2 linked regions of the Rattus norvegicus genome follow. The protein of the gene in region 2 purifies or fractionates together with the protein of the main gene of each other region. This does not show direct contact. Links are inferred from orthologs where the notes say so. Each region holds a gene or a part of one and is shown on either strand. Other genes may lie near its edges.

What was found. The genes of interacting proteins can lie anywhere in the genome.
Region 1: the proteins of Med7 (region 2) and Med9 purify together in Homo sapiens (affinity purification with mass spectrometry; 5 studies listed by BioGRID and IntAct, counting the BioPlex papers as one, with this or other methods). This does not show direct contact. The link is inferred for Rattus norvegicus from reciprocal best matches to the Homo sapiens genes MED7 and MED9.

The regions. Positions count from the first base shown.
Region 1 is NC_086028.1:45,248,924-45,252,675, forward strand, and holds the start of Med9 (mediator of RNA polymerase II transcription subunit 9), read left to right. Parts: upstream 1-1,305; 5' UTR 1,306-1,323; coding exon 1,324-1,535; intron 1,536-3,752.
Region 2 is NC_086028.1:31,353,864-31,357,615, reverse strand, and holds the start of Med7 (mediator of RNA polymerase II transcription subunit 7), read right to left. Parts: upstream 2,580-3,752; 5' UTR 2,534-2,579; exon of another isoform or gene 1,986-2,533; intron 1-1,985. UniProt on the Homo sapiens protein: Component of the Mediator complex, a coactivator involved in the regulated transcription of nearly all RNA polymerase II-dependent genes.

The DNA.
Region 1 (3,752 bases), about 14 Mb from region 2:
TTACCATGATGTCTCCAGAGGTGTCTAGTCTTTTCTGACACACCTAGTTCAATTTTAGGCCATTCTCTTCTCTGTTCTCCCCCAAGAATCATAGCCTTTCCCCTGGGTTAGAAGGAAGCCCTACAGCTTCCTGTGGTGAGAAACATTCTTCTATCAAAGACACTTGGTCCCACAGAGTCTGTATTTCCTAACTCCCCCTTTTTCCCTTTGAGTGATTAGCCCATTGAATCATATTATGAAAGTTGTGTTCCCACCAAGGGGATGAAATGCACCTAGGTCAGAGATGGAAGACAGTGGGCATTTTGTTGAGTGTTTTTACTCTGTTGGCTTGGGTTCTGGTACACTCATTTTTCAAGAAAAAACAAATCACTTTGTTTCACTTTTGTTTCTGTCTTCCTTTTAGCAACACTGAAACTATTCTTTCCCCCTCCGGACAGTGCCTCTGTTTGGAGAACTATCTGCAGCTCTGAAGAGAACAATTCTGAGACCTGTAACTAATAACCTCAAAACACCATTGTGAGGTTCTACATTCCTGTTTCTTTTTGCTTATGTGATGTGGGCTCCTTGCCCCTCTTTACTGACATAGATCTTTTTTTTTTTCTTTTTTTTTCGGAGCTGGGGACCGAACCCAGGGCCTTGCGCTCTGACATAGATCTTATCACCAAGGACAGATGTCCTCTCCCAAGTGACTGCTTCCCTCATTCCTGGTTTTTATTAGTCAGGATCAGGATTACTGCTACCCTTGTCCAGAAATTTACAATAGAGCTCTTTTGCTTCAAATGAATAAATGCAAGCCTATCAGAAAGTTCTCCTATTTGGTCCAAGAGCTTAGTCTTAATATACATATGTAGTCTGGCACCTGCTAGATGCAAACTAAATGCTTGAAGAACGATTAGTTTTTCCCTTGGCAGCCATGTGGGCTGAGTTTGTATGGCGTGTTTTGCTGTCGCCAGTCTAGGGCCCTCCTGGAGGCTAGCGTGACACAAAGAAGTGTAGGTTCTTGTCATCTGGAAGCTCGCTGCCGCAGAGCCCCAGTTTCACACGGTGCTCACTAGCGTCATCCGTTCTTCCTGTTAGTCCCGGGGGGGTGGTCCTCGTTGGTGTTTTGACCTCTCTGTGTCATGTGAACTAGAAAAAGATGACTGAAGTAGATACCCTAATCTTGACTACTCAATTTAGCTGCCCTGACACTCGTCGCCTAGCAACGCTCGCCCGCCTACGCCCAGGGCGCAGACTCAGAGCCTTTTCCCGCCCGGCCTCCCGGGCGCTTAGTTGTGACGCAAGCATCCCGCGACCCTCGGCAGCCGCAGGACGTGTGGTACTATGGCTTCTTCTGGGGTGGCGGGTGGGAGACAGGCTGAAGATACGCTACAGCCACCGCCCGAGCTGCTGCCCGAGTCCAAGCCGCCGCCGCCGCCTCAGCCTTTGCCTGTCGCCGCGCTCCCGCCGCCGGCGGCTCCGCGGCCTCAGTCCCCCGCTGGCGTGAAAGAGGAGAATTACTCTTTTTTGCCGTTGGTTCACAATGTCATCAAATGGTAAGGGCCTAGGAAAGGTCAAGACACCACCTTTTGCGGCTTCCGGTGTCCGGGGTTCCGAGCTGTCTAAACCCGGCGCTGTGGACCACGCCCCATTTTCCCAGAGGGCACACACTGTACTCCCAAGTGAAGTCCACATACTGGTCAAATGCTTAGGTTCTGCAGTGCACTGTTCCTGGTCCCATCTCAGATCCTGCGGTGGCTTGGTGATGGGTCTCAAGTCCATACACACGTAGCCTGAAGACAATTTTATACAATAGTTTTAATTCACCTGCGTTTGACAGTTCATATGAAGCCTAGCATGAAATTTCCCACTTGTAGTATCATGTGAGCCTTGAAAAGTTTTCGAATTTTGGTGGACCGCAGATGTTCAGACTCTAGATTCTCACCTTGTACACAGTTTAGTTCCCATTTCAATGTGAGGCAGCATCTTACCTGTGTGACTGTGTTAAGTACTAGGGTTGTACACAGGAAAGGACCAGCCGTTTACCCTTACAGGGCTTAACAGTTAGAAGCAAAGAAAAACAAACAATAAAAACACTTTTTAAAGTGGAGAGGAGAGTAGTGATGCTAGAAAACATTTGAAACAAAGACACAGAAATTGCTCCAAATGATTGTGTCCCGCTATTAACTTTATTCTTCTCTTTTTTTATTTTTGGTTCTTTTTTTTTTTTTTTTCCGGAGCTGGGGACCGAACCCAGGGCCTTGCGCTTCCTAGGTAAGCGCTCTACCACTGAGCTAAATCCCCAGCAACTTTATTCTTATAGAATATCCAAGGATGTGTCATCTTTTAGACCCAAAGTCTCCAATCTCTACGATGGCCTGTGTTTTGTTTCTTCCATATACACTTGGGTCATTTCCAAGCGGTACACTGTTGTTCTGCAGGCATTCTCCATTGTGCTTTAATAAACTTAGGTGGTGCAGAATAGTTACTGCCTGGCGCCTTTTGGTGCAGTCAGGATTCTTAGCAACAGTGGGAATTGGATGACTTGGTTGGTAAGAGCACTTGCTCAAGTACAAGCACAAGGACCTGAGTTTGAATCCTTAGCATCCACATAAAAAGCCAGTCATGGCTCTCATGCCCGTAGCCCCATCATTTCAGGACTACAAACAGATCTCGAGAGCTCTGGCCAGCTAGCCTGGCTGACACTGAACTTCTATTTAATATGAGACCCTGTCTCAAGGCAGTAAGGTGAAGCTCCAGAGAAAGACACTTAACTCTCGCATGCCCACTCAGACATTCACAGACCTGTATAACACCCCACACACATACAAGACGCACCACATATACCAAACAAACAAAAAAGAGGAAGTAGCTGCTGGTGTACTAGGACATTCTGTTCAAAGGGTGGATTTTATTTTTAAACTTATTTAGACAGGGTTTTTTTTTTTTTTTGCCTTTGGACTTTTGGTCCTGCTGTCTCAGCTTCCTGAGTGCTGGGGCTCGAGGTATGTACCACTACACCTAGCAACTGTGACTCTCACAGTAAAATGTTCAGTATAAGTCCATAAGCTAGTGACATCATTTGTTATTGTTATCAAGCAGTAAGAACTACCTGTAATGGTATGTGTTACACTTATCTGTCCGCAGTGTAACTGTTTGCTCACACAGTGGTGCATTGGGCTGCAACATTACCACATCTACTGTGTCATTAGGCAAAGGAAGGTTTTGGTTACTTTATAAGCCTTAGACTATCACTGTATATATGATCTGTCATTGGCCAGGTTATTTAGCACATGAGTGTATAGCCACAGGACACTAGGTACAAACCCCTGAATTTCTTCTAAACCATTAAATAGTAATTAAACCATTAAAAAGTAAATTAAGACAAGATTACAGTTCCAGTCATATTTATGGACATCAGCATGCCCTTTTGTTGAAGTTGAGGCAGTCTAGGTTTCTTGCTCTGGTGGCTTGGCGCTTGTCTTAGGGCTATTGCTGTGCTGAAACACCGACTAAAAGGACGAGGAAAGGGTTTATTTGACTTACACCCCGTATCATTTTTTTCTCATTGGAGGAAGCCAGGGCAAGAACCTGCTGACAGGGGCTGAGGTAGAGGCCACGAGGGATGCTTACTTCACACACCTTACTGAGTGTGCTTTCTCTTCCTTTTTGATTGTTTTTGTTTCTCCCTGTATTCCTGGCTGTTCTGGAACTATTTGTATACCAGGTTGGACTCATACTCAGAAATCTGCTTCCCTCTACCCCCATGTACT
Region 2 (3,752 bases):
AGTCCCTTGTTAGACTAATGGGATAGAGCAGGGAAGGTGCAGAAAGTTGCACACAAAGATGGCCTTCCAAAAAGGTCTGCCCTCTGTCTACTTTGTGATAGCATGAGTTATGGTTCCAACATTCAAGTATAAATTCCCATTGTACAATTTCTGCAACTGACAGTGGACAATGGCAGGCTCCTTTTTACTGTAGAATCACCACTTACACATACTTAGTCACGGACTCCCAGGTACCATGTCTTCTTTACAATACCTGCTCTGGTCCTACGGCCTGCTGTGTCCTGGCTCTTAACTCTATTCACCCAAGACTACAGGTTGTTGCTTAACTGAATCAGGCTTTAAAATGCTGAATCGCCATGTTCACTGCAGTGAGGATAACAGAAGTGAGAACCATGAGACATGTCTAGTGTCTAACTACACACCCAAGTCGAGGTGTGCAAACCTTGTCTATGAAGGAAATTCTGAGAACACGGAACAGCCTCACTTGGAAATCCTACGATTATTTTTAATCTCTTCGAGCCCTTCTCACCTGTTAAAGAGCACTCATATGATCGTTCAGTAAGATCTGTTCTGCTTGTTTAAAAAATGATGTTAGCATTAAGGACTCACACATTGTAGATAACCTGACAAATGTAAATAAAGCATTCAAAGTGGGAAAACAAGCAGCAGAGTCCACTGCGGGTTTGCAGAGGACTTTATTTACTGTTATTTTTAAACAATTTTTTAAACTGCCCTAAGCATGATGGTTGTTGAGTCCTAATGATTGAGAAGCATGATAGCTGTGAGTTCAAGGCCCATTTGAACTACATGGGCCAGCCTGTGCTAAAGATCCATCTTTAAAAACCAAGAAAATATTTTAAAAATATATAAAATTGGGAGTAAGATATGGTAGTGGTCTGCAAGATATTAGACGAGTGAGGAAGCAAGCATGATCAAAACACACATGTTTGTGTGTGTGTATAAAATTCTCAAAGAACAAACATATATTCTGAAAACTAAGAGAAAAGGGTCTGTATTGGGGGGCTTATACATGGTATATGATATACTTCTTTTTCATGCCTGACTCCTTTTGGTAGGCATACGTTGAAACCTACTCTGGGAAAGAACAGTTATATACAAAGTCATATGCCTTATTTATTTCTCTTTTCCATAATCAAACTACATATGGTGTCTATCAATCTCACTTTGCTTTCTACTGTACAGTGATTTCCAAAACCAAACACTTAAGATTCTCTATACGTCTTGACAAAAATCACTTGTTAAATTTCATACTTCTAGAATTTTCCAAGGTTTCTGAGGGAAGCCTCATCTTACAAACATCTTATAGTACAGTTTTATTGACAATTGGCATTTTAACATCTTTTCTACATAAATTTAACACCTAAGTCCCAACACTGCAACATATATGGTCAAAATACCCTCTGCTTTTCCAATTTGAGTTTAAGTACATTATACAATGAGAAGATTCTTGAGCGCTTTTTCACACTGAGATTCAAGGTAACAGGGGAAAGTAACATACAGGTTCCGTACACCTGGAATACATTAAATCTGAGGGAAGTCACTTCAAATTCTTCAGGTCGTCCAACTCAACTATTTCAGGGTATATATACCTAAGATACTAGTGTCTATTTGCAGTCACATCAAGTCAACACCCAGCCTAAATTTCGTCCCCTGAGGGCTTTTGAAGATGAGATCTGCGCTTCCCTTAGCCACACCCATACTAAATTCCCATTTCCCAAAGGTTTCTAATAAGTGACCGGCATCCTCACTTCTATCTTCCTAACGGCACAACTATTCCCAATTTGATTTTAGAAACAAGAAGCCAGTTTCCAATGTGCAGAAGTGGGTAAAATGTATAACGGGAATTTGTACTCCGTTTTTGTTTTGTTTTGTTTGGCTGTTTCGTTTTGTTGCGCGGAAGTGCAAACCCCGATAACTCAAGCATCCCGTTTTAGAGCCTGCCACCTTACAAAAACCGCCCTCACCGGTTTAAACTGAACTTTTCAGAGCCGCTGGATGTCCTCACTTGCTAACACTAACAAAATTCAGTTTCTAGCATTTGCTTGGGGGGCGGGGGGGGGGAGTGGTCGCAAGCTCAGACACTTGGCTCACTTGGTCCCTGTCCCTCGTAAAGTCTGGTACAGGATAAGATCCGCCCGAGGCTCTCCCTCCCCTCCCCCAGCCTCCGCGCTCCCAGGTGGCTACTATCATTTTACTAATGCCGACAGGGCAGGCTAAGGCCACGACACTTTAAAAGCCCGTGGCGTGGGGACGAGAACTCGGACCTCCCAACCTCCGGTCCGGCTCGTCGTCCGGTCCGCGAGACGCCCGGAGCGAGCCGCACTCCGCGCACCTTCGGCCAGCCGCCTGCCTCAGGCCCCGGGGAGGCTCCGCTGAGGGACGTGGGAGGAAGGCGAGCCCGGGCTTCCCAGGTTGTCCCGCGCCGGACCTCGGCGTGGCGCCGGGAAAGACGCAACCGCGGGGGCGGAGAGACAGACTCTGGCTGCGGTCGCCAAACGCCGCGCCGGCTCACCTCAGCTCTAGCTTTTCCCGTAGCGACTTTTTCCTCAGCGCAGCGGAAGCACAAGTTCCGGTTGCCTTCTCAGGAAGAAGCCTCTGACGCGGGCCTTTAATTGGCTACGAAGCCTGTCCTATAGCAGGTCCTACTCCCGCCCTAAAGATACTGCGCATGCGCACTCCCGCGTCTCCCGCTTCTCCCGGGAAAAGATCTCTTGTCTATCTTCTTGGTCAGGTCAGGAGAGTGTTTCTTCATACTTCTTGTTAGTAAAAGAAAGTACTCTCTAGTAATTCGACTCCTCGCCGCCCACCCCCTTTATATAAGACTCTTAAAATTAAATATTTGCCTTATATAAGTCAGAAAATACAGATAAGCAATATTTAAAAATATCAATGCTAACCTTATCATCAAAAAAAATTTTTTTAAAGCAAGTTGTACTCCATGATATATTCATACATACATGGGGATATTTGGGAACATGATTAAGACTAACATCCTACACCTTCATTTTCCCCCTTCCGTTCACTTTTATTTTCATTTAGGAATTCAAAGATGTATATGACAATTCTTCCACAAACCGACAAGTAAAAAAAAAAATTAATGTAATTTTTAAAATTAGAAGGAGTGGGCAATTTCACTGTGTAGCCCAGGCTACACATGGTTTCAAATGTCTCTTCCGAGCCTCAGGAAAGCCAGAGGTTCAGAAATGAGCCATCAGGACCAGCAAGAAAACTTTCCATTTAGGCCTTCCCCCACCACACATATAAAAGAATTGTTAACAGATGTCCTAACTCATGGGAGTCTTAAGAACGCTTGTTGCAAATTAAAAGTGAGATAAGACTGTTCTGCTAAAACAGCTCTGCTTCAGAGACAAGAATGTCCCAGTTTCTTCCTTTAAATATGTGAAGAATTGCAGGCATAAAAGCGAAAGAACAGTCTACTCATCACCAACTTCCACAGCTATATGCTCCCCATCAGTTCGCCTCTAGTCCAGTATGAGCCTCTCAAAGGTAAGGGCTCTTCGCTTTTTCCCATGCCCATAGCATTACTATCTTACTGAAAGTGTACCAGGGGTTGTTACACTGATCAAATGAGTGTGTGTTCACACATGGATATATATGTCATATAACTTATTAGAGTGGCTTACAAGATGCAGTTCAACTAGTCCAACAATGGCTGCCTCCAACCTGAAAGGCTGAGAATCCCGTAGCTGCTCAGTCTAAGGGGCTGGATG